7 linked regions of the Macaca mulatta genome follow. The main gene of each other region encodes a partner of the protein of the gene in region 5 in a complex. Links are inferred from orthologs where the notes say so. Each region holds a gene or a part of one and is shown on either strand. Other genes may lie near its edges. The genes, in order: POLR1C, POLR2H, POLR1F, TAF1A, POLR1B, POLR1H and POLR1E.

Region 1 (3,500 bases), on a different chromosome or scaffold from region 5:
GCACAGTGTCAAGTATAGTACCTCCAAGGACCAGGGCTGGGCAGTCTTTAGTGCTAACATCCCCTTTAGAGCTCACACATCTTGCCCTTCCATGAATGACCCCTCAGTTTGGCTTCCCCAGCCTCAAGGTCCACTCAGGCACAAGAGCCACAGTACCCTAGAGAGTGTCACATGACACCATTGTCATCCAAGGATAAAACAGACCAACTAGGCTATATCTGTGATAAGCAGCTAGCAAAGCCACTGGTCTTCTAGGACTAAGACCAGGTGCCTTCCGCAATCTCATGGTCTTTCAGGTCCCTGGTTACTTTTCTCAAAGACCATCTCCAAAAGAAAAGAATACATGCCTTCGCATCACAACCTGTACTGTGAGTCCATTCTAGAGGTCACTGAAAGGCCCTATAAACAGGACTCGGATATGGGACCTGGCCCTGACATTATTACTGGCCATAAAGGCAGACTTAATCCATACAGAAACCAGTGTGTCCATGTGCTCTGCACAAAAACAGACCTGTTGTCCACCAATCCACTGACAAGAGGGTTTCCATGAGAGCCGAAGTGGACTGAAGCTATAGTTTTTAGCTGGTGTGGGCCAGAGGCAGGGTCAGATTGGGAAGAGGCAAAGCTGAGGAAGCAGAAGTTGGAGTCTCATGTTGCTCCCTCTTCCCGTGTGGTGCTCTGGGTTCCTGTGGATTGTGAAGGCGATCTCAAGAGTGTTTCCCTCCAAACCTGATAGCTGCCTATTCCTGTCTGGTTGGGGCTGTGGAGGGTGTAGTTGTATTTATTGTGTTGTAATATTTTTAACATCCTGTGACTTCATGCTAGAAGTTTTCTATTGTTTATAGAAACTTTTTGTAGAAACATTAACTCCAAAGCACATCTGCATGTCAGTAAAAGTCTCAGTTTCATACAGAAAGGGACCCATCTGCCTTTTTCAACCTAGTCTTAAAACCAGTGACATACTCCAGAGTTACTCCATGAGCACCCTGCAAAAGGGGACTGAACAGGAAGAAATGTGACTGATGAACCTGGTCTTTCAAGCTTTCTGAAATGGTGTGCCAGTTAGAAAAGGATTTCTATCCTGACACACCCAGACTAGGCAGCCCATACCATTCTCACAGTGTCTTTCATATGTGGCTGCTGGGCCTGGCCCAAAGGAATTGCTACTGTTCTTTGTTGGAGCTGTCAATAGCGGCATGAACTTCCCTGGTAATCCGGGAGACAGGTGAAATGGTGCATTCACTCTAGCTTGAATGTTTTTCTAGGGGTTTGGCTGTACTCCCAGAAACCACCTTAATTTGCCAATTCTCAGGAGGTGTTTTTTGTTGTTTTTGAGACAGGGTCTCACTGTTACCCAGGCTGGAGTGTACATCTGATGTTCTTAATTGCTAAAGGTCAAACCAGTTCTGAAGTGAGGCCCTGTTTTTCGCAGTGGCTCACACCTGTAATCCCAACACTTTGGGAGGCCCCAAGGCAGACAGATCACTTGAGGTCAGGAGTTTGAGACCAGTCTGACCAATATGGTGAAACCCTCTCTCTACTAAAAATACAAAAAATTACACATAGCCAGGCGTGGTGGTACACACCTGTAGTCCCAGCTACTCAGGAGGCTGAGGCAAGAGAATTGCTTGAACCCAGGAGGAGGAGGTTGCAGTGAGCAGAGATTGCACCATTGCACTCCAGCCTGGGCAACAGAGTGAGACTCTGTCTCAAAAAATATAAAAGTTGTCTCAAAAAGTTTTGTTTGGACATGAGTTTATTTACATCTAAGGCCTTACAAAGGCCTAAAAGTCTCATTTTATGGCACATTTAACAAAATGTATTGATTAAAAATAAAGCTGGAATTGTCCCAGAAAACTCAGGATCCCTAGTCACACTGGGCTCTCTGTACAGCAGTCCTGTAGGGTGGGTCAGTCAGAACCCAAAGCTTCAGCTTGCCTCAGGAACATCCAAGCTCAGTCCATCTGAACCGCATCTAGTTCATCCAAGAAGCGCCGGCACTTCCCCATCAGTACTTTGATGGCTTCACTCACCAGCACATCTGGTGGCAACACCCCCGTTGACTCAACAGAGACTGGGGATCAAAGAGACACTTTAGCCTAGGCGGGGCTTGCCTGTAGAAAGCCCCTGTTACTCAAACTTCACATCTAGACTGGAAGGAAGCTGCAGCACCAAAGAGTACTGCCCACTCATCTCACCACTTCATACTCACAGATATAATGATCTCGAACCCGGGCAAGCCTCACAACCTTCTTTAGCTTCTCATGCCGGAAGATTTCTCTGCTGAAGGTATCCAGCCGGGGGTTGGCAACTCTGGCCACCTTTTTACCTAATGAGAACAAACCACGTTTTTTTATTCTTTTTTCTAATTTGCCCCTTGGTAGCAAACCATGTTATACTTTTAGGAACCCAGGGTTTTTATTTCTGTCACCTTCAAAGAAAATATAATTTAGGTCCTAACCTGAACAGCACCCCAAATACCATACCTTGGACTTCCTGCACCTCAATAACACCAGGTGAGAAGCACCTGCTCAACTCCTCAGCTGCCTCCCCTTCCACGGGCTCAAGCAGGGTGATGTCTGGCAGGAGCCTATAACTGGCTGTTGCCACTGGTGAAAACTTGGCATGATCTTTGCCTGGAGAGGAAGAGAGAAAGTGCCTATACGAAACCCTTCTAGGATTAGGAAGAATACTCTTCCTAAGCTGCTAACAGCAAAAGCACGATGCTCTTGGCTTTCTACCTGCTAGGAATATCTCAGCTGAGTTCCCTAGTCAGCTTGCCCCACTGCAACCAAACTACCCCTCTTCCCAGGAAGGAACACAGGGTTCTCACCAATGCCCTTGACACAGTGCATAAGCAGGTCAATTTCTTGGCCAGGCCGCAGCTGAGCAATGAGGATGTCATCGTGCACTGGTCGGATAGTGCCCTCTGGGAAAAGATCAGCCTGATTCCCCAGGGGGATCCATGTCATATGCCTGGTATACACTGGAGGAAAAACATGTCAAAAGATTTCAGTTCCTAAAACTAGCAGCCACCCACAGGTGGGGCCTCTTCCTCACCCTACCACTACTTACCTTTGTGGTTCACATACAGTTCGTTGGGGTCAGAGGAATCTTTAGCAGCATGGGGGTTCCGAGTGCATCTGACTTGGAGACGAAACCGTAGGGTATCTATCTCTGTGCCGTCTTCATCTCCTGCACAAATGGAGGGAGCTCTTAAGAACTAGTAAACATCTGGCCGGGCGCGGTGGCTCAAGCCTGTAATCCCAGCACTTTGGGAGGCCGAGACGGGCGGATCACGAGGTCAGGAGTTCGAGACCATCCTGGCTAACACCGTGAAACCCCGTCTCTACTAAAAAATACAAAAACTAGCCGGGCGAGGTGGCGGGCGCCTGTAGTCCCGGCTACTCGGGAGGCTGAGGCAGGAGAATGGCGTAAAAACCCGGGAGGCAGAGCTTGCAGTGAGCTGAGATCCGGCCACTGCACTCCAGCCTGGGCGA
Region 2 (3,950 bases), on a different chromosome or scaffold from region 5:
CCGGAAGGGGTAGGCCGGAGGGAAGGGAGCTCCAGGTGCCGGGAAGTCCACTTCTGGGACGCGGGCGTGGGTCGCTTCTCCCTGGTTGGGCCCAAGGAGGAACCAGAGTCGCTGCTTCCATCTCTCCGCTTTGGGGGAACCGCCTGCTGGTGCTCTGGGTTCTCTATCAGGGGCTGGTGAAGGATAGAACAGATGGCAGAGCGCGCGCAGGGTGGATGGGCAGCATAGAGATAGTGTGAGAGGAGCGAGGGCAGCGCCCAGGAAACGCACAAGTGTGCGGGACAGCCAGCACCAGGAGGAAGGGGCATTTGGGAGGCAGAGGAGGGCCTCAGGGGGCGGGGGCAGTGCCCGGGAAGGGGGAGCCTTGTGATAGAAGCCAGTACCCAGGAGGAAGGGCCAGTGTGAGGGAAGAGCTGGTGTCCAAGGGACAGGGCAGTGCCAGGCTGAAGGGGCACGGAGGGGATCCGTGTCCAGGAGAAGGCAGTGGAGGACTAAGTTGGAGGGGTAATGCCCGGGGGAGGCGGGTGGCGGGAGCCAGGCTGAGGGGGCGGTGACGGGGAAGACAGCAGGGCCTGGGGGAAGCGGGCAGTGGTGGGAGGGTGCAGTACGAGGGGAGGGGACAATACAGGCTTTCCTCTTCTCCATAGCGACATCATGGCAAATTCCCAAACTGGACGGATCCGGCTCGGGTTACATCCAGCAGGGCCGAGCCGGCCCGGGCAGGCCCCGGGGTCCGCGGTGCCGGCTGGAGGGGCTGGGCACCTCTGGGGCGGGGTTCTGCTCCACCTGCCCTCGGCGCGGACTGTGCCCTAGGCGGGCACGCAGACCGGCGGGGTAGGGCTAGGGCCCGGCTTCTCTGGGCCAAGGATCAAGGTCCCTGCCTGGGTTAGGCCCCCACGACTTCCAATCTTCGGGACCCGGCCTCTGAAGAGGGCGCAGCAGAGCCCCAGCTGAGCGCTAGAACCCGCTCTACAGCCGCGGGAGGTTGGACCTATTGTTTCCCCGCCCTGGGCGGGGCCACCTGGACGTGAGACCCGCCCTCAACGCCGAAGCCTCTCGGGAGCAATCTTTTGGGGCGGAAGTTAAGTAGCCCCGAGCGGGAGTCTGTGGCGGAAGTGGGCGCGTTACCACTTGTTTGTGCGCATGCGCCACTCTTGTCTGGCTGCCGCGCATGTAAAAGCTGGTTTTGCTCTTCTCCCCTCTTCTGCACCAGAGCGGGTGCGCGTACTCCCAGCTGTGGTCGCCCGCTCACCCCTTCTGCTGCTCTCGTGGCCCCCTCGCGATGGCGGGCATCCTCTTTGAAGATATTTTCGATGTGAAGGATATTGACCCGGAGGGCAAGAAGTTTGACCGAGGTAAGTAAAGTAGGTAGGGGCGATTTGGAGGAAGAGGCTAACCTCGCGGACATGCCCCTGGACCCCGTGTCCACCCAGCTCTTGTGGCCTGCCCCTACCAGCAGGTCCTGATGTAGGGACCTCCCTCAGGAAACAATTTATGGATGAGAAAAGGGAGACTCCCGAGCTTTCTCTGGCTTCACGCATGCCGTGCCCGGTGCCTAGGTGGCCTTTTGTCATGGTGCTGGCAAACTCCTGGGCATCTTTATAATCGCTACCTGCTCTGTGCTAGACACTGTCTTGTGAGACCAGCCTGGCCAACATGGTGAAACCCCGTCTCTACCAAAAATACAAAAATTACAGGCGGGCGCCTGTAATCCCAGCTACTTGGGAGGCTGAGGCAGGAGAATTGCCTGACCCTGGGAGGCGGAGGTTGCAGTGAGCCAAGATTGCGCCGCTGCACTCCAGCCTGGCAACAGAGCGAGACTCCTCAAGAAAATGAGAGTCCTCATGAGGTGGGTGGTGCCTTCCCCATTTTTTTCTGAGAGAGTAATCCACCCAAGGCTTCACAGCGAGTAATCTGACTTCAGAGCCTATATTCTTGTATTGCCCTCATAATCCTTAGCGCTTTAAGTCTTCTCTGAGTTAGAGTTAGCTGCTTGGTATATCCTTTTTTTTTTTTTTTTTGAGACAGAGCCTCGAGCCCAGGCTGGAGTGTAGTGGCACGATCTTGGCTCACCACAACCTCCGTCTCCCGGGTTCAAGCGATTCTCTGCCTCAGCCTCCCAAGTAGCTGGGATTACAGACATGCTCCACCACGCCTGGCTAATTTTGTATTTTTAGTAGAGACGGGGTTTCACCACTTTGGCCAGGCTGGTCTCGAACTCCTGACCTCAAGTGATCCACCTGCCTCAGCCTCCCAAAATGTTGGGATTACAGGCGTGAGCCACTCCACTGGCCTACACCTCTTAATTTTGTCATCTATCAATAATTTTCTTTTTGATGTCTCATTCTTTGCCTGGAGACTCAGATGTTTTCAAGACGGATACCAGTTCTTATACATCTTGATAACTCCCCTCAGCACAGTGCCTGTCATAGAAAGAGGAAACCTTTGGATGATTGAATAACTTGCCCAGAGTCAGGTTCTCAGTCATCCAGGCAGGCCTAGAACCGGGTATTATTTGCTGCTGAAGTATCTTTGGTTGTTTTCTGGGGATTACGTTCACTTGCCACAGTTTTTCTCCCCTTTTCCTTCTTGCATGTCTGGTTCTGATGGAGCCTGCATTTCTATGAGAGCAGATGAGAGACCAGTGGTTGTAGACTGGGTTAGATTGAGTATTCTGTTGCATACAATCCCACACTGTAGGATCTGCCTTGGGCCTGGCAATACCTCTGTCACTCTTTTCCTGCTTCTCCCCAGTGTCTCGACTGCATTGTGAGAGTGAATCTTTCAAGATGGATCTAATCTTAGATGTAAACATTCAAATTTACCCTGTAGACTTGGGTAAGTATTGAACACAGACAATAATAAGAGGCATTTTGCCGCTTCCGCTATTCTTCACTCTCTGATATTGCTGTTATTTTCAGGTGACAAGTTCCGGTTGGTCATAGCTAGTACCTTGTATGAAGATGGTACCCTGGATGATGGTGAATACAACCCCACTGATGATAGGCCTTCCAGGTGAGGTAGTGGAGAAGGTAATACTTGGAATATGCCTTGAGAACTAAGTAGATAAGTGATATAGAAAGACTCTTCTTTAATTCCTGGAATAAATGATGATCAGCAGAATCTGAGTAACCTTAAGGAAATTTCTGCACTTAAGAATTCAAACAGGCCAGACACCGTGGCTCACACCTGTAATCTAAGCACTTTGGGAGGCCGAGCAGGAGGATTGCTTGGGTACAGGAGTTCAAAACCAGCCTGAGCAACATAGCGAAACCTCACTGCTACAAAAATAAGAAAAAAAGAAAAAAAAAAAAAAAAGGCTGCACATGTTGTCATATGCCTGTAGTTCCAGCTACCTGGGAGGCTGAGGTGGGAGGATTGCCTGAGCCCAGGAGGTTGAGGCTGCAGTGAGCCATGATTGTACCACTGCAATCCAGCCTGGGTGACAGAGTAAGACCCTGTCTCAAAAAAAAAAGAAAAAAATTCCAACAACCAGGTATTTATCTATAACAGTGATTACATGCTTGTGAGTTGTAGCCTTTTGAAGGCTGAGGAGGTGACTGCTGAGTGCCCTAGGCTATGTGGGTCTTGTGTCTTGGGAGGGAGCTTGGTGTGATGGAAAGACTTTGGCACCCCACTTGAGTTCATTTCTCAGCTCTATCACTTATTTGTTGAGTAACCTTAATCTCCTTCAGCCTGTTTCCCCATCAGTAGAATAGAGATGATCATGATCATGCCTAGCTCACGGGGTTGCTGCGAGGACTAAATGACATCATGTTTGTTTGTAATGTGCCTTTTTTTTTTTTTTTTTTTTTTTTAGACGGAGTCTTGTTATGTCGCCCAGACTGGAGTGCAGTGGCTCAATCTCGGCTCACTACAAGCTCCGCTTCCTGGGTTCACGCCAGTCCCGAGTAGCTGGGACTACAGGCGCCCGCCACCACGCCCGGCTA
Region 3 (3,500 bases), on a different chromosome or scaffold from region 5:
TGAGATCAAGATACCCTAACAGGCTAAGGTTTTCTAAATAATGACAGCAGTACAAGACACATAACCATGGCATAAATTCCAAATATTCTATCCCATTATCCCTCAATCCACTAAAATATGCATGGGCTGCTGAATGTTAAATTGAAAAATGTTAAATTTAATATTAAATGTTAAATTCCTTCTTTATGAAGAACTTCTCCCAGACTGTTTCCACACATAAAAATGACATAAGAATCTTGTCAAAACATGTCTTCCAAGTTTTGGGTTGTTTCAGAAAAATTTGGTCACTGAACATTAAACACCACAATACCTAGGCTTATTAACCAAACCACTGACATCTAATAGAAAATACGATCTGGTATGTATCAAAGTAATGGAGTTTCCAGTCTACTGTTTTAATCCTGTTTCAAATAATAGTCCATTGTTCTACTTAGCTGATACTAAGACAGTGTTACTTTAACATTGTGAATTATTTTATACCACTAAAATAAAACATGGATCAATGAAGTAGCTCTGTCTCCAGAACTTCAGTTTTACTCAGTAGCACTAGGCACATGTACCTAATCAATACCAACAACATAACTAGAAATTCAGTTCCTCAGTCAGACTTAGTCCCATTTCAATGCTCAATAGTGAGGCTGCTGTATTATGTATATAAACTATATTTCTGTCATCACAGAAACTGAACAACTGTTCCAGACTTCAACCCATACTCTTGTAACTTTAAGGCAAAATATAGAAAAAATTATTAGCAATAGCAGCATTCTAAGAGTTGTCTCTCTCCTCCTTCCTTTAAACTTGGCTCCCATGGAATCAAGCTCAAGATCAGAGTAATTCTTACAATAATTTCAATACAGACTAATACAGAAATTAAAATATCTGGCACAGATGACAATGATCAACACAATTTTTTGTGTGTAAAAACAAAGCAGGCCAATAGGAAGGTAATTGTGCTTTCAGTAGTTTCAAGTTTAGAGGTCAATTTAAAAAAAAAAGTTAACAACAAAATAGAAAATACTCAGCAAAATTGAGCTACTGGATATTAAAATACAGATCAATTAGCTAGTCAGTGTTTTAGAATATTTGATGCACCGTTACAGATTACTTAAGACTATTGTTGCCGGGCGCGGTGGCTCACGCCTGTAATCCCAGCACTTTGGGAGGCCGAGGCGGGTGGATCACAAGGTCAGGAGATCGAGACCACAGTGAAACCCCATCTCTACTAAAAATACAAAAAATTAGCCGGGCGCGGTGGCGGGCGCCTGTAGTCCCAGCTACTCAGGAGGCTGAGGCGGGAGAATGGTGTGATCCCGGGAGGCGGAGCTTGCAGTGAGCCGAGATCGCGCCACTGCACGCCAGCCAGGGGGACAGAGCAAGACTCCGTCTCAAAAAAAAAAAAAAAAAAAAAAAAAAGAGTATTGTTTATATTGACTTTATGGTTTGAAAGCATGAATATTCCTATAAACAGATATTTTTAAAGAGAGGCTTATGTTCTCTAAATTCAGAATTAAATAGAAATTAAGTACCTAATGATAATTATGTAATGATAAACTAACCTTGTGATATTTAGTTTTCCCCGAATGCAGAATACTCCAGCAGCATCTGAGTCTAAACGAAATACTTCAAATTCTAGTTCATCACCCATGTTTATCTCCATGGTTAGCCACTGCTCAGCTGACAACTGCTCAGGTTTAGGAATGGAGGCATTGAAACACCCGTGTACTAAACAGCCAATGTGGCTAGAAGACACTTTATTAACTATACCCTGGGAAGAAGAAGGAAGAGCATAACATAAAGAACAGATCCACAAAGTTAAAAGGTGAACCAAACTTTACAAGCTTCAAATAATCTTCAAAGAGCAAACATCAAGTTAATGGTCTAATTTAATATGGAAAAAGTTTACCTCAATTAAAACTTACCCCATGTCATGCCAAAACATCACTTTAGAATACCTTTGGGTTTTGAGAAAGCTCAAACTTTATTATATAAGTAATTGCACATTAACTGTCTAACTGGATAAACTAACCTGCCCCCGCCACCCTGTCCAAGAAAAAAACCACCTAAACCCCCCACTGCAGGATTCCTTGGGGAGGAGATTATTACTCTTTAGCTACATTGAAACCATGCAGAAAATACTCCCATATAACCTATAAAAAGACCTCATATGTGTTTTATAACTGGGATCTATGTTATGTTTCTGTAAATAGACCAAATTTCAAAGCTTAAAAATGCATTCTTTATTTAATTTAGCATGATGCAAGCATTCCATTAGAAGACAGCTTACCCTTTATATGTAAATATTGACCATGACTATTTTTGGCTAAATCACAAAAGTATTATTAGAAGCTTTAAAACTAAAACAAAAATATGTGCTATATGATTTTAAGATGAGACTCTTACATAAAACTTATTTTTCTTCTCAGGGTCAATATATACAAAGCATATGAATGAGACCCAGAAATATTAAAAATTCACATTTTCTGAATTACAAAACTGCAAATAATACTGACATCTATATAATGCTGTTTAACATCAGCAACCCTTTACACATGTGACATAATAAAACTTCCCTATCTGGTATGGTCAGAAGTCTAGTGTTCCCACTGGTAGTTTCCAGATGGTCTAGATAAACAAACTGGTACATCCATAAAATAAAAGATTATTCAGTAACAAAGATAAATAAGTTCTCACCATAAAAAGACATAGCGAAACCTTAAATGCATATTGCTAAGTGAAAGAAGTCAATTTGAAAAGGATACATACTCTATTCTTCTTTAAAAAGGCAAAACTATGGAAACAGTAAAAAGATCAGTGGTTGCCATGGATTAGAGGGAACAGAGGGAAGAAGGAAGGCATGAATAGATGGACCACAGGAGTTTTTAGGAGAGGAAAACTATTCTGTATCATACTATAATGGAAGATAAGTTGTTGGGATTCACTCATGAAAGTGGCAGAAATATTAAAGGGAAATATTAGGGAAAGTTATAGGGAATAGTCACAAACCTTTTTGGAAGGCCAAAAGGTTATATAGCTTGTAATAATTGAACAGGCTGAAGACAGCCGGTTCTTACCTTAAAGCATTAAGTTATAGGGTAAATACTAGGGACAATAGAGGCTTCCCCAGTTAAGTCTGTTTACCCTACCTCCATTAACTAACCTTTAAGTCAGATGGCCCTCTGGGGGTGGGGCGGGGGGAGGTCGCCCAGAGATATTGCCCCCTAATGACATTTACTTTAAACCTCAGTACCTGAGCTTTAATTATTTGTAGAACTACTCTCTTGACCATGTTAATTATCCACAACTGTGTGGACTCAGAACTTATATTGTTAACTGTATACTAAATAAATGCCTGGAGTGTGAACTGCTCAGGGCCAGTGGCAGGGACAAACCTCTCTCGGTGTGTAGGCGGTCGGACACTCAGCAGTACTGGCAAAACAGAATATCTGTGTGTCAGTGAAGGTTTTATTCATCCGTCTTTTAGGTCAGGGTCTGCGGGCAGA
Region 4 (4,064 bases), on a different chromosome or scaffold from region 5:
TAACTACTGCATATTGTTTATGAAGACAACATAGAATCAACTATTTGTAGCATTTTAAGGAATCCATGTACATTTTTTTTTTTTTTTTAAAGACAGGGTCTCATTCTGTCGCCCAGGCTGGAGTGCTGTAGTGTGATCACAGTTCACTGCAGCCTCCTCCTCCCCGGGCTCAGGTGATCCTCCCACCTCATCCTCTCGAGTAGCTGGGACTAGAGGCATGCACCACCACCCCAGCTTATTTTTTTAAATTTTTTTTGTAGGGACGGGGTTTCATGATGTTGCCTAGGCTGGTTTCGAACTCCTGAACTCAAACGATCCGCCTGCCTTGCCCTCCCAAAGTGCTGGGATTACAGGCATGAACCACCGTGCCCAGCCTCAAACTCTTACTAGACCCTTTAATTTCCCCTCTGATACTCTGATTCTACCCAAATTGTTCACCTTCACAGAGGAAACTCAGTGATTCGTGGGGGAGCTTATTATTTGTGCATCCTCATTTGTGGACAAAATTCTTTCTTGCTGTGACTTGAAAGCAGCCTCCCTTTAGCTTTCACTTATTAGTCCTAGTTCTGTTCTCTGCTGCTAAGAAAAAAGGTCTGATTCTTCTTTCACGGATCAGCCCTCCAAATGTTGGAGAAGCACACTGCGTTTCCTTAACCGTCTTACTTTTGACCCATATTTCATTTGTTTGTCTCAACGTCCCTCATGCAAGTTGAACCAGACGGGGTCCGCAGAACAATTTTTGCTGAGAAGGCAAAAGAAATTCTCGCCCAAATTGTGGAGAAGGGAGTCGAACCAATTAAACCCAAAGCTAAAACTGTAATAGAAAAGAACTTTCACGCTCGCAATGAACAGGATATGCATGGATTTGTCTCGTCACAGCCACTAGCCACGCCTCCACTCGTGCAGTGCGCCTGCGAGCCGAGCAGAAACCAATGGCCCATCGTAGTGAATTTCTCGTAGTGAAATTCTGCGCTTTAGAATGCTCCCTTCGCCCAGCCGCCGACCCCTCACCCCAATTTCCACTTTAAATGAAAGTCTCCCACTTTCTAGCTGAAATAAAGCTCGGGCAAAACTAATCGGAGAGAGGCAGTTCACTGTCACTTCCTGGGTCACTTCCAGAAGTCACTTCCGGGGTCGAGGCGAGGCCAACAATACGCCTGCTACCGCAGGAGTTACGAGCTGGGCCGCGCGCAGCCTGAATGCCTAAACCAGGTTTTGCGCATGCTCATATAAAGCTCTCCTAACCGTCTTCCGGTGGGAATTTATTCACGTGGTCCGGAGTCGGAGACTGAGTTTAGCTTTACTGAGGAGCTCTAATTTTAAGCGGGTAAGTGCCGCAGATATCGTCCGTGGTTCCTGCGTTTAAATGGGACGGGAAGGGGTGTGTCAGGATTCATCCATGTTCTCCTGATATTTCCTCCTAATACCTGAAACCCTTGGAGTCTGAGAACGAGAGAAGGGGCTAGAGAAGCTTTGGTTGCCGTGGCAACTGCGGGACACCAATTTGGATTTTTGAGGATTTGGAAAGGGAGGATTTGTGTAACTACGCCTCAAAATACATGATGAGTCAGATTCAAATTCATTTGTTACTTATAATTCATACTCGTAGCCACAAAATTTGATTTTAGAAGGTTTTCTCTGGGTGTAATGCAGAGAAGCAAAATCTGAGCCAGGGTAATTATTTAGAAAGCTAATGCAGTAATCTAGGCACTGTTTGAAGGGGTCTTGAACTAGGGTAGTGCTGTAGGATTGCAGAGAAGAGGGGAAATTGGGGAAATTTGGGAGGCAGTATCAGGGGCACTAATACTCGATTTCATATGGGGAATGAGGAAGGGGCCCTGAGCATCTTTAGGAGTAAGTCCAAACTCAGCTTGGCTTATTATTTTTTTAGGTTCGTTTCTCACCTTCCGCACCCCCCTCCACACACACCCCGACTTCTAGTCATGCTAAGTAGTTTAGTGTTCTATTTCCTAGAATAACGTCCTCACCTTTATTGTGATGTTAGGCAGGTTCTATCATTTCACTAAGCCCCTCAGTTTTTTCAATCTTAACATGGAAGAAAGTAATAGTACCCACCTCAGGATTGCTGTGGGGATTAAATTAGATAATTTATACTTCTGGTGCGTAGTAAGGGCCTAATAAATATTAGCTGCTAGTACTATTCTTATTATACTTCTCGTATTGTTTTGTTATTATACGTTTTGCTGTTTCTTCGTCTAGACCTGAGATTTTTTTAAATTAGAGGGGCAGTATCTTACTTATCTTTATATGGACTTGAAACATTAGTAGTTCGGTCTTTTTAATGTCTCATTCATTTTGGCTGTTGCTGACATAGTTAAATTCATTTTTTACTTTAAAAGAGCTGACAGGTATCATGCATTTTGCTGATCAAATTGTATTTATTAGATAAAAAGATAGCTGTTTTTCTGTACAACTCAGAAGACTGTGGATTAAGATGTACAGAAAGTAACTGATATCTCAGTTTGTAATAGGTATGAGTGATTTCAGTGAAGAATTAAAAGGGCCTGTGACAGATGATGAAGTGGAAACATCTGTGCTCACTGGGGCAGGAATGCATTTTCCTTGGCTTCAAACATACGTAGAAACTGTGGGTAAGTAAAACAGTAACATTGAGCCATTTTAACTTAAAATGTAAGGAGATGGTAAGATTCAATATGGATACAAAATCAATAACCAGGCTGGTTTAATTTTCAAGAGGAATATGTGGAGTGTTTTTAGGCTGTAAGCCAAAAAAAAGTGTTTTTTCTTTTAGAACTCTTTGACTTTGGATTAACAGTAGTCTGTATTATGCTAGATACACATTTTTTCCAGTAATACTTACTGAGCACTTTTATTTCTGGCATTGATTAAATATTGGGGAGTCATAGATGAAGAAGATACGGTCTCTGCCATTGAGGAAAACATGCCCAGGAAGTGTTCAAGAAGTTGCTGTTGAATTGCATTGAAATTATTTCAAATAGAATTGATCATGTAATAGATTTTTTTTTTTTTTGGAGACAGAGTCTTGCTCTGTTGCCCACACTGGAGTGCAGTGGCTAGATCTCGGCTCACTGCAACCTCTGCCTCCCGGGTTCAAGTGATTCTACTCAACCTCCCAAGTAGCTGAGATTACAGGTACCCGCCACCACGCCTGGCTAGTTTTTGTATTTTTAGTAGAGACAGGATTTCACCATGTTGGCCAGGCTGGTCTTGAACTCTTGACCTCAAGTGACCTGCCCTCCTCAGCCTCCCAAAGTGGTGGGATTACAGGTGTGAGTCACTGCACCCGGCCTAGATAAAAGAGCATTTTCCCTCATTTTTATCTAATGTAAATGCAAGCATGTTTTTCTATGGGATAAAATTTCCCCCATTTTTATCTAATATAAATGCAAGTATGTTTTTTTATGGGATAAATTCCCTATAATAATTTATTTAATATAAGTATAAATAAAAGAAGCTATTATTTGTATGCTGGCGTATTGAGTGGTTTACATTTGGGATTACATTTGAACCAGCATTTTACTTACTGCCCTTAAATATGTATTTTTTTGCCCAGACTTTTCTCCCCTTGACAGAGATTCCTTGGCTCCTAAAATTTCGCTTCCATTTTTTCTTTCGATCTAAGTATCATCTCATTTAATGATCTCAGTAAATTCTCAATAAATTTTTGTGCTAGGCAGTTTAGGTAGGAGGAAACTGAACCTCAAAGACATTAAATTCGTAAGTGGTGGTATCAGAAGGCAAATCCAGGTTTGTCTGATCTCAAAGCCTACACTTTTAACCACTGAGATATATTTTTTAAAATGAGACAATATATGTAAAGTACCTAGCATAGTATCTCATGCATAGTGAGTGTTGAAAAATAATAGTGCCTTTCCTCTCCTCATTTTAGTTTTGCTAGATTAATGCACGTGGCTTAAGGCAGATTTGAATGAATGATACTTCAGAGATAGTGCTACTTCATCCCTGGTAGGGAACTAATAATTTAAATTTCCTATAGTTATATCATACTTGGGTATATTTCTGTTACCAGTGTTCTATAGAAAGTCTGAGTCAGTCTGCAA
Region 5 (3,500 bases):
TCTTTTTCTGCAGTTGGATCTATTTTCTACCTCTCCACTTTATTCTTTTCTCCTTTCTACCCTCTCCTGGACTTTGACATTTCGAATCACCAGTAACAAAATTATTTTCCTCGTAGAGGATAAACCTTCAAATTACACTGATTACATCGTCTGAATCTTGAGTATTTCTTGATTACTTTCTGTGGGGCCCTCTTCCTACAGGCCACGCTCTCTCTCTCTCTCTCTCTTTTTTTTTTTTAAGATGGAGTCTCACTCTGTCACCCAGGCTGGAGTGCAGTGGTGCAATCTTGGCTCACTGCAACCTCCACCTCCTGGATTCAAGCGATTCTACTGCCTCAGCTTCCTGAGTAGCTGGGACCACATGCACATGCCACCACACCCAGCTAATTTTTTTTTTTTTTTTTGTATTTTTAGTAGAGATGGGGTTTTGCCATGTTGGCCAGGCTGGTCTTAAACTCCTGACCTCAAGTGATCTGCACACCTCGGCTTCCCAAAGTGCTGGGATTACAGGCATGAGCCACCACGCCTGGCCAGGCCACTCTAATTGGGAGAAGTACTTTTGAGCAGAACTTTGAGTCAATGCCCTTCTAGTTGCTTGAGAATACCTATCGTCTGATCCCCATGAACTGGAAGTTTTACTGTATGAATATTAATCCCACTGGTGAACCTGTCCACAGACCACCAAAGACAGAACATTTCTAGTCTCCAAATCATAATTGGAGAACCCTGGGACTAGAAAACTGCAGAGAAAGCTGACGTCTTTAGGTATGAAGATAAATTCAAATCAAGTATCAAGCCAAGAATTAGACAGCTTTCTAGCCAAAGCAGAGGCAGAGACAGCAGCTGTAAGGTTATCAGGAAAAATGGTTATCATCTGATGACATTAGGGTAGACTGGAAAATCTTTTAAACTGTCCTCCTGCAAACCAACACTGTTTTCTACTTAGAAATGCAAAGATCCACCAAGAGATGCAAGGAGAAGTGACCCAAAAAACTACTCAATAGCTTCTATGCTTCCAATATTAATGACTAGTCTATTTCAGATGCTTTGGCATCCTTCTTATTCATTGATTTATTTTTTATTTTGGAGACAGGATCTCACTTTCTCGCCAAGTCTAAAGTGCAGCAGTGGCACAATCACAGCTCACTGCAGCCTCAAATCCCTGGGCTCAAGCGATCCTCACTTCCATTATCTTCTTTTTTTTTTTTTTTTTTTGAAAGAAAACAAAACACCTATAACAGTTTCTCCTGTTTTCACTTTCAAAGAATGCGTTCAGCCTTCTATAGAGGAGCCAAGAAAGCAGCGCAACTCCTGCACAGAAGGGTAAAAACGAATTCTTACAGAAAGTCTCTGCTGAATCTCCAAAAGCAGCACAACTTAACAGGTTAAAAACCACGTAATCTTGGCCGGGCGCGGTAGCTCACAACTGTAATCCCAGCACTTTGGGAGGCCGAGGCAGGCACATCACGAGGTCAGGAGATCGAGACCATCGTGGCTAACATGGTGAAACCCCGTCTCTACTACAAATACAAAAAAATTAGCTGGGCGTGGTGGCGGGTGCCTGTAGTCCCAGCTACTTGGGAGGCTGAGGCAGGAGAATGGCGTGAACCCGGGAGGCGGAGCTTGCAGTGAGCAGAGATCGTGCCACTACACTCCAGCATGGGCAACAGAGCGAGACTCCATCTCAAAAAAAACACAAAAAACAAAAAAAAAAATCAAGCAAGATGTTTATCACTATACACTACATACCCAAGTTGCAGAGTAAAGCCGGAATAGATGCTGTATAGACAAACTGTGTGACAACCTCACATACGGCAGTTAGGTGGTTCATCAGGCCACAGGGCTCCCCGTCTGGGGTATGCACTGGACAAAGGAAGCCCCAGGACTCTGGCAGCAGCCGGCGTACTGTGGTGGTCCTCATCTTGGCAAAATCAGCCCCTCTGTGCACGCAGCGGAAATGGGAGAGGTAGCGTATGAAGTTCAGCTTGTCAGCCACAACACAAAGTCCAGAATTTTGTAGGAGGCCAAGACCTTAATAAAACAAAAGTCACTCAAAAATGGGCCAATCTTTTAAAAAACGGAAATTTCTGAGGCTTTGTGACGACAAAACCTCAGAGCACTCTACAGATTACAGAATGAATTATTACAACATTTATTCTCCTAGCTCTGATGAGTGGAAAGAGTTCGCAAAAAAATATGTAAAATAATCCCCAGATTTCACAAACTGTATGAGCCCCAACTAGTTCCCTATCTCCTCTATGACCTCCTTTGTAGGAGAACATTAAATGAGTTAATAAAATAGCAAGTAGTTAAATTCATCTGAGAGGGTCAGATAATAGACAAGCAAGTAAGAAGGCTAATGAAAGAATCGGCATCAGTAACAGGGGTTTAAAAAAAAAAAAAAAAAAAGGCTGGGCACAGTGGCTAATGCTATAATCCCAGCACTTCAGGAGGGCGAGGTGGGTAGTTCGCCAGAGCTTAAGAGTTCCAGACCAGCCTTAGCAGCATAGCAAAACCCCATCTCTACAAAAAACACAAAAATTAGCCAGGTGTAGTGGCTTGTGCCTGTAGTCACAGCTACTCGTGGGGCTGAGGTGGGAGGATCACCTGAGCCCGGGAGGTCAAGGCTGCAGTGAGCCATGATTCTGCCACTGCACTCTAGACTGGGTGACACAGTGAGGCCCTGACTCACAAAAAAAAAAAAAAAAAAAAAAAAAAATTTCTGGGTTCCCAATTACCACTTTTTAAGTTTCCAGGGTCATTCTCTTTTTTGCTGAGACAGGGTCTCACTCTGTCACCAGGCTGGAGTGCAGTGGTGCAATCACAGCTCACTGCAGCCTTGACCTCCTAGTCAAGCCACCCTCCTACCTTGGCCTCCCAAAGTGCTGGGATTACAGGCATGAGCCACCACACCTGGCCTCTCAGGTCACTCTGAGGCAAGGCAACTGGTTTAGAGATGGGCATGTACAGCAACCCATGCAGAATTCCTATTAGGTAAGCCTTCCTCAGAGGTCTAAGTGGTCTTTTCATTTTCTAGAAGGAGGCAGAGAAAATGTATTTGGTTATTTGAATTAAATTTTAGCTATACAGACACCTTGTCTAAAGTCCTTCAGACCAATAGTCATCAAAGTCATAGTTACGAGAAATTTACTTTTTTGGGGGGGGTTGCTTTTAAAAAGAACCTGTCAAGGACAGGCAAATCTACATTAAGCAAATAGTTTGAAAAACGTAACTAAAATGCTCTATTTAATTTTACCTGTTTTAGAACGCAGATTCCCAGTAGCAAAAAGGTATTCAAATGGTTTTGTAAGGTCTATTCCCATAGTAAAAATCCTCATCAAATTGTCAGTGTTCATGGAAACATTGGTCTTCTGAGCCTTCTTATCAAAAGCTATTTTAATAGACACTAACCAACCTTCCAGTTTTTCCTGAAATAAGAAAAACAAAAAATTAATATAAAATAGTATGTGAGCTAGGTGTGGTGGCTCACATCTATAATC
Region 6 (4,251 bases), on a different chromosome or scaffold from region 5:
GCAAGGTTGATAGGAGATCCTGTGCATAAATTTGGGAACTGCAAAAGCCTGCCCTTTTTTGTAAAAGTGAACAAGAAAAGAAAGAAATTCAACTCTATAGAAGGGGAATTTGACTGTCTCAGTAGGTAGAAAGAGAGAAAACTCTTTCCTGAGAATTTCTAGCCATAAGCTAGCCCTTACATGGATTTGCAGCTCAAATTCATACTATCTGTCTGCTCCAAAAAACATGAAGCCAAGAATTTATTTAAAGTAATTCCAGCTTGATAGTGCTTCAAGGCACCTAGAAAAGAAACACAAATGCTGAGAATACAACACTTACCCAAGGCCTCAGAGAATTCCTACAGTTCAAGTTCTAAAAAACTCAAATTTATTGTCAAAAATTACAAAACAAAGAAAAAAGCACTATGAGAGAGACAGCAGAAACAGACAGCAGCATCAGACACACAAAATCCACGGATATCAGAATTATGAGACATAGAATATAATAACCACATTTAATATTTTAAATATATAAAGACTAGTAAAAGGAACAATTTAAAATATTATTAAGGAACTGAGAATTATTTAAAAATTGAGATTTGAAAAGTAATTAAATAGAACTCAAAATAATAACAATAGTAAAAAATAATAATACTTGAAATAAACTGAAGACAGAATTAGTGACATGGAAGAGGAACCTGAAGAAATTACTCAGAAGGTGGCATAAAGAGAAAAGCGATTGAAAATATGAAAAGAAGGCGAGAGAAATGGAGGACAGAAGAGAGAAATCTCATTCTAGTAACTAATTAGAGGTCCAGAATGTGAGGACTGAGAACATGGGGGAAAGAGAATATTAAAAGAGATGATGGCTGATAATTTTCCAAGGTTGATGAAAAAAAAAATCCACTCTAGGCCAGGCGCAGTGGCTCACACCTGTAATCCCAGCACTTGGGGAGGCCGAGGCGGGTGGATCACAAGGTCAGGAGATCGAGATCATCCTGGCTAACACAGTGAAATCTTGTCTCTACTAAAAAACACAAAAAATTAGCCGGGCGTGGTGGCGGGCACCTGTAGTCCCAGCTATTCAGGAGGCTGAGGCAGGAGAATGGCATGAACCCGGGAGGCGGAGCTTGCAGTGAGCGGAGAACACACCACTGCACTCCAGCCTGGGAGACAGAGCGAGACTCCGTTTCAAAAAAAAAAACAAAAAACAACAATGCACTCTCAGTTTCAGAAAGTCCAACAAATCCCAAACAGAATAAAAGAAAATCACATTTTGATATACTATAGTGACTGCAGAACACCAAAGACAAAGATGAGGTCTTAAAAGCATTCAGAAAGCCCATGTTCTCTAAATCATGTGTGACTAATTCTCTCCAAAGTAAAGCTACCTTGACTGCGGTTGAAGACTGCAGTATAAGACGCTGACCACTAAACAATACTTGCTTCTTCTGGTTTTTTTTATTCATTTCCTTTTAAATATCCTAAAAGAAGGTCAGGCAGGGTGGCTCATGCCTGTAATCCCCAGCACTTTGGGATGCTGAGGTGGGTTGATTGAGCTCAGGAGTTCAAGACCAGCCTGGGAAACAGAGAGAAACCCTATCTCTACTAAAAATACAAAAAACAAAACAAAACAAAAAGCCAGGTGTGGTGGCACGTGCCTGTGGTCCCAAAGCTATTTTGGAGGCTGAGGTGGGAGGATTACCTGAGCCCAGGAGGCGGAGGTTGCAGTGAGCCAAGATTGCCTCACTGCACTCCAGGCTAGGTGACAGAGCAACACCCTGTCCGTAAAAAAAAAAAAAAACCTAAAAGGTTTATTTCACTGGTTACAAAAAGGGTTAAAAAAGTGTAATTTAAAAAAATAAAAACTACAAATCTCCCTCTTACCAGAACTGCACAGAAATAAGGGATGGGACGAAAGGACACAGCCGTTTAGTACAAAAAAATAAATCACTGGATTTGTTTATTAGTTAGCAAACAGACTGAGCAAAGGGAGGGGAAAGGATACCCACTTGCAGTTGGTACAGGTGTAGAAGACAGTTTGCCCTTCATCGGCTGAACGCATCTGTCTGGTGTGGTATGCCATTCCTTCATGACCACATCGAGGGCAGCGCCTGTCAACCTGGGAAGAAACTGGTGGGTTATGGAGGCCAGGTCATATCATACCCTTACTTCCCACAGGAATCAGGCGATCACGCCTCTCAAACATCGATGCTTTACATCTTTTCCCACTTGGAATTGGGCACAAAACTCTCCAGATCTCTGCAATCACTCCTCCATTTCTTTCCTACCCACCTTATGGAGCCAGTTCTTGATCTCATTAACTTACCACAGGTCCCTGGCACTCAGGCCCTTCCTCCACCGACATAGGCATGGCTGTCCCCAGTTGGTGGAACACAACTGAAGTCTTCACAACCTTCCCCTCAAAGTCTGCACAGGCAAGTAAGACGGGTTATGGAGACAACCTGAGGGAGCTGACACCGGAAACTTCCCCTCTCCCCTGGCTGGTTAGGCCAGGAGGCCCTATATCCTTTCCCTCAGTTTTCATCGCTGAACCAAATGTACAACTGCCTGATGTCCTGCTCTAGGATCCCCTTCTCAACCCAACCGATCTTGAGTTCCCCAAGCTTCCGATCCTGGGCCCTCCGCCAGGACCCCTGTGTACAAGCCTCTCACCCCGAACGTTGATGTTGAAGCCACAGCGAGTACAGGTGACCGTATCCTGAGCCCCGGGCAGAGGCAGGACCGAGCCGCAATCTGAACAGAAATCCAAGTCCGACTGAAAGCTGGAGCAAGTACCGGCGAGGTCCATGACAGACATGCAGTCGGGTCTGAGGAGGGAGTTAGAAGTTTATTAACAAAAGAGAGAAGAGTTCCTGCCCCAGAGGTGGTAACTATTCCGTCCCAGGACGTAGGAGTATATAACCCGAGTCCTCCTCCCACGCACGCCTCCTGCCTCTGCGACCAAGGAGCCGAAACGCCCGGAACTCCCAGACAGCGTCGGGTACTAAAAGGACTTGGAACCCTTTCCTGGGGCCGGCGAGAGGAGCTGGCCAACTCCGTGGGCTAGAGCGCCAGCTCTGCGCCCGCGGCGGGGCAGCGAGCTAGAGCCGGCTAGAGCGTCACGCTTTCACGCTGACGATTGGCTGTGACGTCATAATTAATTGCGTACCGTGTCTCGGAAGCCTTAGAGATGGAGAGTCACCACTTCTAAGGGAGGTTGGGGCTCAACTTTCAGGCTGGTACTGAGACGTTGAGCACAAAATTGGTAACCAATGCTGCGCTTCCAGCAAATTTTCCCACCAGCACCGAATCCTGGGATATTTATTCTCTGTTTCACATCCTACGGGAACCCAATCGCGGGGGAATATCCTCCTGAAAACCGTACTTTGCTGAATAATGACTTCTTTGGATTAGAGAACTACAACTCCCCTGGGTCCTGAGCTGGTATTTCCCTTTTGCGGCTGCACAGTAGTTAAAAACAAAGCTAAGTGTTCTGGCATGTATAGTTCTAGCGTTCCTTGGGTCCCGCTGGCGAGCGTGGGCTTTCTGCAGAGCGCAGCCGGCCTGTGTGCTTTGCGGACGGTTCACCGCGCTTGGAAAGGGGTGAGTCGGCTTCTTGAGGGACAGCAAGTGGTGAGGGTGAAGGCCAGAGGAATCCTTAGTCCCACGGGACGAAAGGAAGCAGGGATGAAGTGGGACACTTGAGAAGGGGCTCAGGACTTTGGAGGTGGTAGAACAGAAGAGCTTGGGGCTTCCCCTCCTTCGACTCCTGCCAGATAAGTGAGGCTAGCAGTAGTCAAGAAGCTCATTAAGTAGGATTTCATAAGACTTAGGTCGAGTTTGGCTTTTAGTTGTGCCTGCCGCTTATCGAACTCTTAATTCATTATTCGTCATCCATTAAGTGGACAGCTGACATTTCCCTGATCTTTTATAAAACATGGGAATAAGTTTCTTTCGGAAATCTTGCTATTTTCGTTACTCTGTAACTTATATTCGAAGTAGAAACTTTCCCTGAAGGGGCAGCTTGTCGTTGTTTACTAGTTTCCTGCTAGTCCTCCCACCACCACCTACTCTGATAGCTGTGCTAAGTTCCTTCATATGAAAGTTCTGGAGCCATCACTATTTTGTCCTGTGAAGGACACAAGCTGTAGTCTTTTCGCTGGGAGAGGCTCCCACCTGCCTTTCTCTGTGATAATGGAGAGAACACCATAGTTAAAGGGTTAAAACTCAGCAAACTGCTGAAGAGTGACAAGCCCTATCACTTAACTG
Region 7 (3,926 bases), on a different chromosome or scaffold from region 5:
GACTAATGATTATTTTTTTGTAGAGACAGGGTCTTGTTATGTTGCCCAGCCTGGTCTCAAATTCCTAGAATCAAGGGATAGAACTGCCTCTGCCTCTGCGCCTGGCAATTTGCTGATGGCTGTGTTGTTATTTAGGGAACGTCCTTGTCTGTAGGAAATACTATAGTCTTCAGGGGTGAAAGGGTATCAGGTTGACAGCTTACTCTAAATGGTTCAGGGCAAAAAAAGTTCTTGCAGTGTTTCTTTAAGTTTGAGACTGGGTAATTAGAAAAGAGTGACAAGTTGCAGGCTTTAAGATTATTCCTAGGATTCTGGGTGTTGGAGGTGGGTGTGAGGATGTGTGGAAGGAAAAGAGTTCTGAAAGAAGGTGATTTGGAAGACAGAGGGGAGTCAGCCTGAGTTCTTGCCCTTCAATAGCACGCATCTTTGGGCAAAGGGGGCCTCGGCCAGGGTCCATGCTTAAAGGTCCTGCTTTTGTCTTTTTTCTGCTCTGAAAACTCCCCGTGCAGAAGAATGGTTGAATCCGCAGTGAAAAAGGGACATGTCTATCAGCTCGGACTCCCTCTTCTATTTCAGTCCAGAATCTCCTGCCCAAAGGCTCTGGGGTTGGTTGGGCTTCTGTTCCATCACCTCAGGGTTGATCGGGCCACATGTGTGCACGCCACAGCGCATTGCGGGGCGCTGTTTGTCGGACTGTGGACAAAGCTTGTACCTAGAACTGGATGTCCACGTGGGTGGGTGGGAGGTCCTAGAGAGGGGCGGCTTTTTGCCAGCGGCCACATTTAGTTGGGGCTCAAGGAGTTCCTGTTAGAGAATTCTAAATTTGAACTTGGTCTTTCAGGTCTTGGGAAGACGTGTTTGTCACGGTAGGAGAGAGACGACACTCTCTCTAGACTGTGCTGAGCCGGAAGAAGGCTCACAGCAAGCTTAGGCTGAAGCCGTAGGACGCCTCAAGCTCTGGACCTACAACACCCAGAGTGCAAGCGAGCGCTGAGCTAATCACGTGCTGCGCCTCGGCCAGTCGCGCGAATATGTGGCACCTTGTGGGCGGAGACCGCGCCTCTCCGCGCGGGGGGCGGGGACACGCGGCTCGCGCACTGTGGGCGGTGCCCGGCTGGGGCCACGCCTTTTCCGGCCTGCCGCGCGGCCTAGGCTCCCGCGTGTTTAAAAGAGGGTTTGTGGCTACTGCTGTCTTAACTGCTGTACTTGGCGGACAGACAGGCGAGATGGCGGCGGAGGTGTTGCCGAGTGCGAGGTGGCAGTATTGTGGGGCGCCCGACGGGAGCCAGAGAGCTGTACTGGGTAAAGACTGCAGAGCTGGAGCAGTGCTCCTCTAACCCTCCCCCCTTCCGTCTCGGTATCTCAGCTGTCCCCTCGCACTCCGTTAGGCTTCTCCCCAGCGGGGCCAGGACGCCTGTAGTCTCCACCACTCTCCTGGGCTCGGTCGGGGCTGCCCTGTCCGTCTTTCTGTCACTACCGCCCAGCCGGATTGGGACATCCCACTCACCCGCTCCCCAGGGCTGTGTCCAGGACCCTGCTGTCCCCTCACCCACCAGGTCTCCCACCTCCCCCGTTTCCCTCTCTTCACTGGGCAGGGGTTCCTTCTGTCACTTTAGGTGTGGACCAGGCGTCTGCTGTCAGCCTCCTTCCGCGAGACATTCCCCCCTGTCACAGCCCCTCCCCAGGGTTCTCCCACCTCCCTAACCCCTCTTCTCAGCTGGCCCCGGATCTCCTCTAGTTCCCTTTGGGTCAGGACCCGAGCTTCCTTGCCATCCCCATTCTGACACTCACTCCCTCCCAGTGACAGTCTAGTCCCACCGTACATTGTGTGGCCTTCTGCTCTCACCTGATTCTTGGGCTGCACTCTTACAGTCCAGTTCTCCAACGGGAAGCTACAGAGTCCGGGCAACATGCGCTTTACCTTGTATGAGAACAAAGATTCCACCAACCCCAGGAAGAGGAATCAACGGATCCTGGTAAGTGAAGCAGTTGCCAGCTGTCTCCACTCTGCAGGGCTCAGAAGGCGCCTGGGAGTGGGTGGTGTGGGAGGGAGTGAGGGGAGAAACAGGAGAGTAGTAGCAAATGGACCTTTGAAGAACTCTGATGCCCAGCAACTTGGGATGTGGGGACAGGCTCCATCTTTCATTCATTTATTCTTTCAACAAGCATTTATGGAACCTCCTCTGTATCCCTGTGCTGCAAGCTTCTAGGAAAACAGCCAAATCAGGCCTAGCCCCACTCGGAGTTCATACTCTAGAACAGGGTTTCTTAACCTCAGGACTATTGACTTTTGGGGCCAATAATTCTTTGCTGTGGGGGCAGCATCCCTAGTCTCTACTCACTGGATGCCAGTAGCACCAGAGTGGATTTCCCTGGATTGAGAACCTCTGCTCTAGAGAGATGAGAACTGGCTGTGAGGGACACTTTTACACAAAGCTCTGAGGCCACGTGCGGAAGATTACAGGGCAGAGTGAGCTCAGTGGGAGGAGAGGTCTCTGCCAGAATGCCTTCCTTAGGGAGGTCATGTTGGAGCTGAGCCTTGAAGGCTGGAACGAGGGTTTGGCAGTCAAGGTTTGGTGTTCTAAGTGAAAAGGATAGCGAGGACAAATGCAGAGAAGCAGGAAAGCTTGCTTATGATTGGGGAGTCAATCAGCCATGGTCCTGAGAGTATACAAAGAACAGTCATGGGAGAGATGGGCCAAAGAGAGATTGCTTACAGAATCACTTTGTTGCATGCCTATAAGTGCTAGAAGCCCAGGGCCTCTCTCTCAAGTCTTGTGATAGAATTCCCCCAAGAGCTTTTCATACCATTTAGAAGCTAGCACCATCTGAGGCTTCTCTTCCAAAAGCTGTCTTGCTTCCCCCGCAGGGACACCCCATATTCCCTTAGAGAGAGTGGAGCTGGATCATCTGCCAGAGATGAACTAGTTCTAATCCATTGTGAGTCTGGATTCAAAAGCCTCAGCAAATGTAGAAAAGAGAGATGATACTTAATACCTTTCAACATTGGTTGTAAATGGAGTTTCTCCTCTCTGCATTTTAGGCAGCTGAAACAGATAGACTTTCCTATGTGGGAAACAATTTTGGTACTGGAGCCCTCAAATGCAACACTTTGTGCAGGTAATGGCAGGGGAAGGGACAGCGGGAAGGGTGATGGGGTTGGGAGTGGTGGCAGCACTGGCACTGCTGTTTCCTGTCTGTTTTAAGGGCAGTAGGAGCCATCTAGAGCGGTTTACTAGGTGATTCCTGTGTTCCTATTAGACATAGAGCCCTTCCCCTCACCTGTAGACATTGCTGGAAAGGAAAGATAACTTGAATTTCCTAAAAACCTCATTTGTAACCTTGTTTGTTTATAGCTGTCTTATTCCAAAAGGCAGCTCTCTCCATTAATTTGGAATGTGTGACTAGTAGGTCAAAGCTTGTGTGAAGTTTACCTGGGAACTAACGACAGGTAAAGAACTTGGTAGTGTTGAAGGCTCTGGGCTGGGAAAGAGAAGCCTGGGATTCCCATCCCTCTGTGCTGCTGTTTGACTGAGTGGCTGGGTAACTCTGCCCATCACTGACCCCTAGTCTGTACAATGAAGATTGTCCAACCTCAACTATATCACTCTCGGGGGCTGGCATGATGCAGACAGGGCCCTGTGATGGTACCCAACAATGAACTACAAACCAGGCCCTTTCTGAGCCTTACTGGACCATACTCCAATAGAGGTCAGATTGCTGTATAGGTGCTGAGAACTACTAACCCTGCACTCTCCCCTCTCAACGATGCCCTAGTTCCAACTGGTCTCCTTCCCGTTTACTTGATTTTGCCTCCATAAAACTGTTGTGCCATAAATTCTAGTGTAATTCTAGATTCCTACACCCCAAAAGAGTTTTCCATTACAGTACAGCAGCGAGCCCAAATGTGATCAACTACCAGAATC

Evidence for each region.
Region 1: the proteins of POLR1B (region 5) and POLR1C are in contact, whole or in part, in a cryo-EM structure (PDB 7OBA), measured with the Homo sapiens proteins. The link is inferred for Macaca mulatta from reciprocal best matches to the Homo sapiens genes POLR1B and POLR1C. Residues at the interface, in NP_061887.2 of Homo sapiens: Arg713, Gln715, Lys761, Ala762, Glu765, Arg766, Gly767, His770, Tyr774, Gly816, Val848, Arg872, Pro874, Glu900, Asp901, Phe904, Glu906, Gly908, Lys967, Gly970, Tyr971, Asn972, Phe973, Tyr974, Arg978, Tyr980, Ser981, Gly982, Ile983, Ser984; in NP_976035.1 of Homo sapiens: Ala70, Asn74, Arg77, Arg78, Leu81, Ala82, Gln102, Asp103, Glu104, Ile105, His108, Leu112, Lys220, Asp221, His222, Ala223, Thr230, Ser232, Tyr233, Arg234, Leu235, Asp281, Thr282, Phe283, Ser284, Glu286, Arg289, Arg301.
Region 2: POLR1B (region 5) and POLR2H share a complex: the UniProt entries of both Homo sapiens proteins name them as parts of the pol I pre-initiation complex. The link is inferred for Macaca mulatta from reciprocal best matches to the Homo sapiens genes POLR1B and POLR2H.
Region 3: POLR1B (region 5) and POLR1F share a complex: the UniProt entries of both Homo sapiens proteins name them as parts of the RNA polymerase I (Pol I) complex. The link is inferred for Macaca mulatta from reciprocal best matches to the Homo sapiens genes POLR1B and POLR1F.
Region 4: POLR1B (region 5) and TAF1A share a complex: the UniProt entries of both Homo sapiens proteins name them as parts of the pol I pre-initiation complex. The link is inferred for Macaca mulatta from reciprocal best matches to the Homo sapiens genes POLR1B and TAF1A.
Region 6: POLR1B (region 5) and POLR1H share a complex: the UniProt entries of both Homo sapiens proteins name them as parts of the pol I pre-initiation complex. The link is inferred for Macaca mulatta from reciprocal best matches to the Homo sapiens genes POLR1B and POLR1H.
Region 7: the proteins of POLR1B (region 5) and POLR1E are in contact, whole or in part, in a cryo-EM structure (PDB 8A43), measured with the Homo sapiens proteins. The link is inferred for Macaca mulatta from reciprocal best matches to the Homo sapiens genes POLR1B and POLR1E. Residues at the interface, in NP_061887.2 of Homo sapiens: Lys254, Ser258, Phe259, Ser260, Tyr262, Gln263, Gln266, Ser295, Thr296, Gln297, Ser338, Thr340, Glu341, Ala532, Cys535, Pro541, Ile542, Asp543, Gly544; in NP_071935.1 of Homo sapiens: Gln27, Ser29, Asn30, Gly31, Tyr69, Thr76, Leu79, Lys80, Cys81, Leu84, Cys85, Met109, Gln110, Pro111, Leu112, Phe113.

Annotation. Positions count from the first base shown.
Region 1 is NC_133409.1:138,597,048-138,600,547, forward strand, and holds part of POLR1C (DNA-directed RNA polymerases I and III subunit RPAC1), read right to left. Parts: intron 3,196-3,500; coding exon 3,076-3,195; intron 2,987-3,075; coding exon 2,834-2,986; intron 2,637-2,833; coding exon 2,487-2,636; intron 2,330-2,486; coding exon 2,213-2,329; intron 2,075-2,212; coding exon of another isoform or gene 1,956-2,074; exon of another isoform or gene 1,739-1,955; intron 917-1,738; exon of another isoform or gene 1-916. UniProt on the Homo sapiens protein: DNA-dependent RNA polymerase catalyzes the transcription of DNA into RNA using the four ribonucleoside triphosphates as substrates.
Region 2 is NC_133407.1:96,503,350-96,507,299, forward strand, and holds the start of POLR2H (DNA-directed RNA polymerases I, II, and III subunit RPABC3), read left to right. Parts: upstream 1-1,150; 5' UTR 1,151-1,282; coding exon 1,283-1,355; exon of another isoform or gene 1,356-1,363; coding exon of another isoform or gene 1,364-1,364; intron 1,365-2,754; coding exon 2,755-2,838; intron 2,839-2,921; coding exon 2,922-3,015; intron 3,016-3,950. UniProt on the Homo sapiens protein: DNA-dependent RNA polymerase catalyzes the transcription of DNA into RNA using the four ribonucleoside triphosphates as substrates.
Region 3 is NC_133408.1:108,575,004-108,578,503, reverse strand, and holds part of POLR1F (DNA-directed RNA polymerase I subunit RPA43), read right to left. Parts: intron 1,766-3,500; coding exon 1,557-1,765; intron 1-1,556. UniProt on the Homo sapiens protein: Component of RNA polymerase I (Pol I), a DNA-dependent RNA polymerase which synthesizes ribosomal RNA precursors using the four ribonucleoside triphosphates as substrates.
Region 4 is NC_133406.1:80,432,301-80,436,364, reverse strand, and holds the start of TAF1A (TATA box-binding protein-associated factor RNA polymerase I subunit A), read left to right. Parts: upstream 1-1,264; 5' UTR 1,265-1,327; intron 1,328-2,482; 5' UTR 2,483-2,494; coding exon 2,495-2,612; intron 2,613-4,064. UniProt on the Homo sapiens protein: Component of the transcription factor SL1/TIF-IB complex, which is involved in the assembly of the PIC (pre-initiation complex) during RNA polymerase I-dependent transcription.
Region 5 is NC_133418.1:22,638,852-22,642,351, reverse strand, and holds part of POLR1B (DNA-directed RNA polymerase I subunit RPA2), read right to left. Parts: intron 3,429-3,500; coding exon 3,257-3,428; intron 2,032-3,256; coding exon 1,750-2,031; intron 1-1,749. UniProt on the Homo sapiens protein: Catalytic core component of RNA polymerase I (Pol I), a DNA-dependent RNA polymerase which synthesizes ribosomal RNA precursors using the four ribonucleoside triphosphates as substrates.
Region 6 is NC_133409.1:152,983,541-152,987,791, forward strand, and holds the start of POLR1H (DNA-directed RNA polymerase I subunit RPA12), read right to left. Parts: upstream 2,801-4,251; coding exon 2,656-2,800; intron 2,410-2,655; coding exon 2,309-2,409; intron 2,102-2,308; coding exon 1,992-2,101; intron 1-1,991. UniProt on the Homo sapiens protein: Core component of RNA polymerase I (Pol I), a DNA-dependent RNA polymerase which synthesizes ribosomal RNA precursors using the four ribonucleoside triphosphates as substrates. Can mediate Pol I proofreading of the nascent RNA transcript.
Region 7 is NC_133420.1:62,122,870-62,126,795, reverse strand, and holds the start of POLR1E (DNA-directed RNA polymerase I subunit RPA49), read left to right. Parts: upstream 1-1,126; 5' UTR 1,127-1,226; coding exon 1,227-1,302; intron 1,303-1,872; coding exon 1,873-1,976; intron 1,977-3,043; coding exon 3,044-3,120; intron 3,121-3,926. UniProt on the Homo sapiens protein: Component of RNA polymerase I (Pol I), a DNA-dependent RNA polymerase which synthesizes ribosomal RNA precursors using the four ribonucleoside triphosphates as substrates.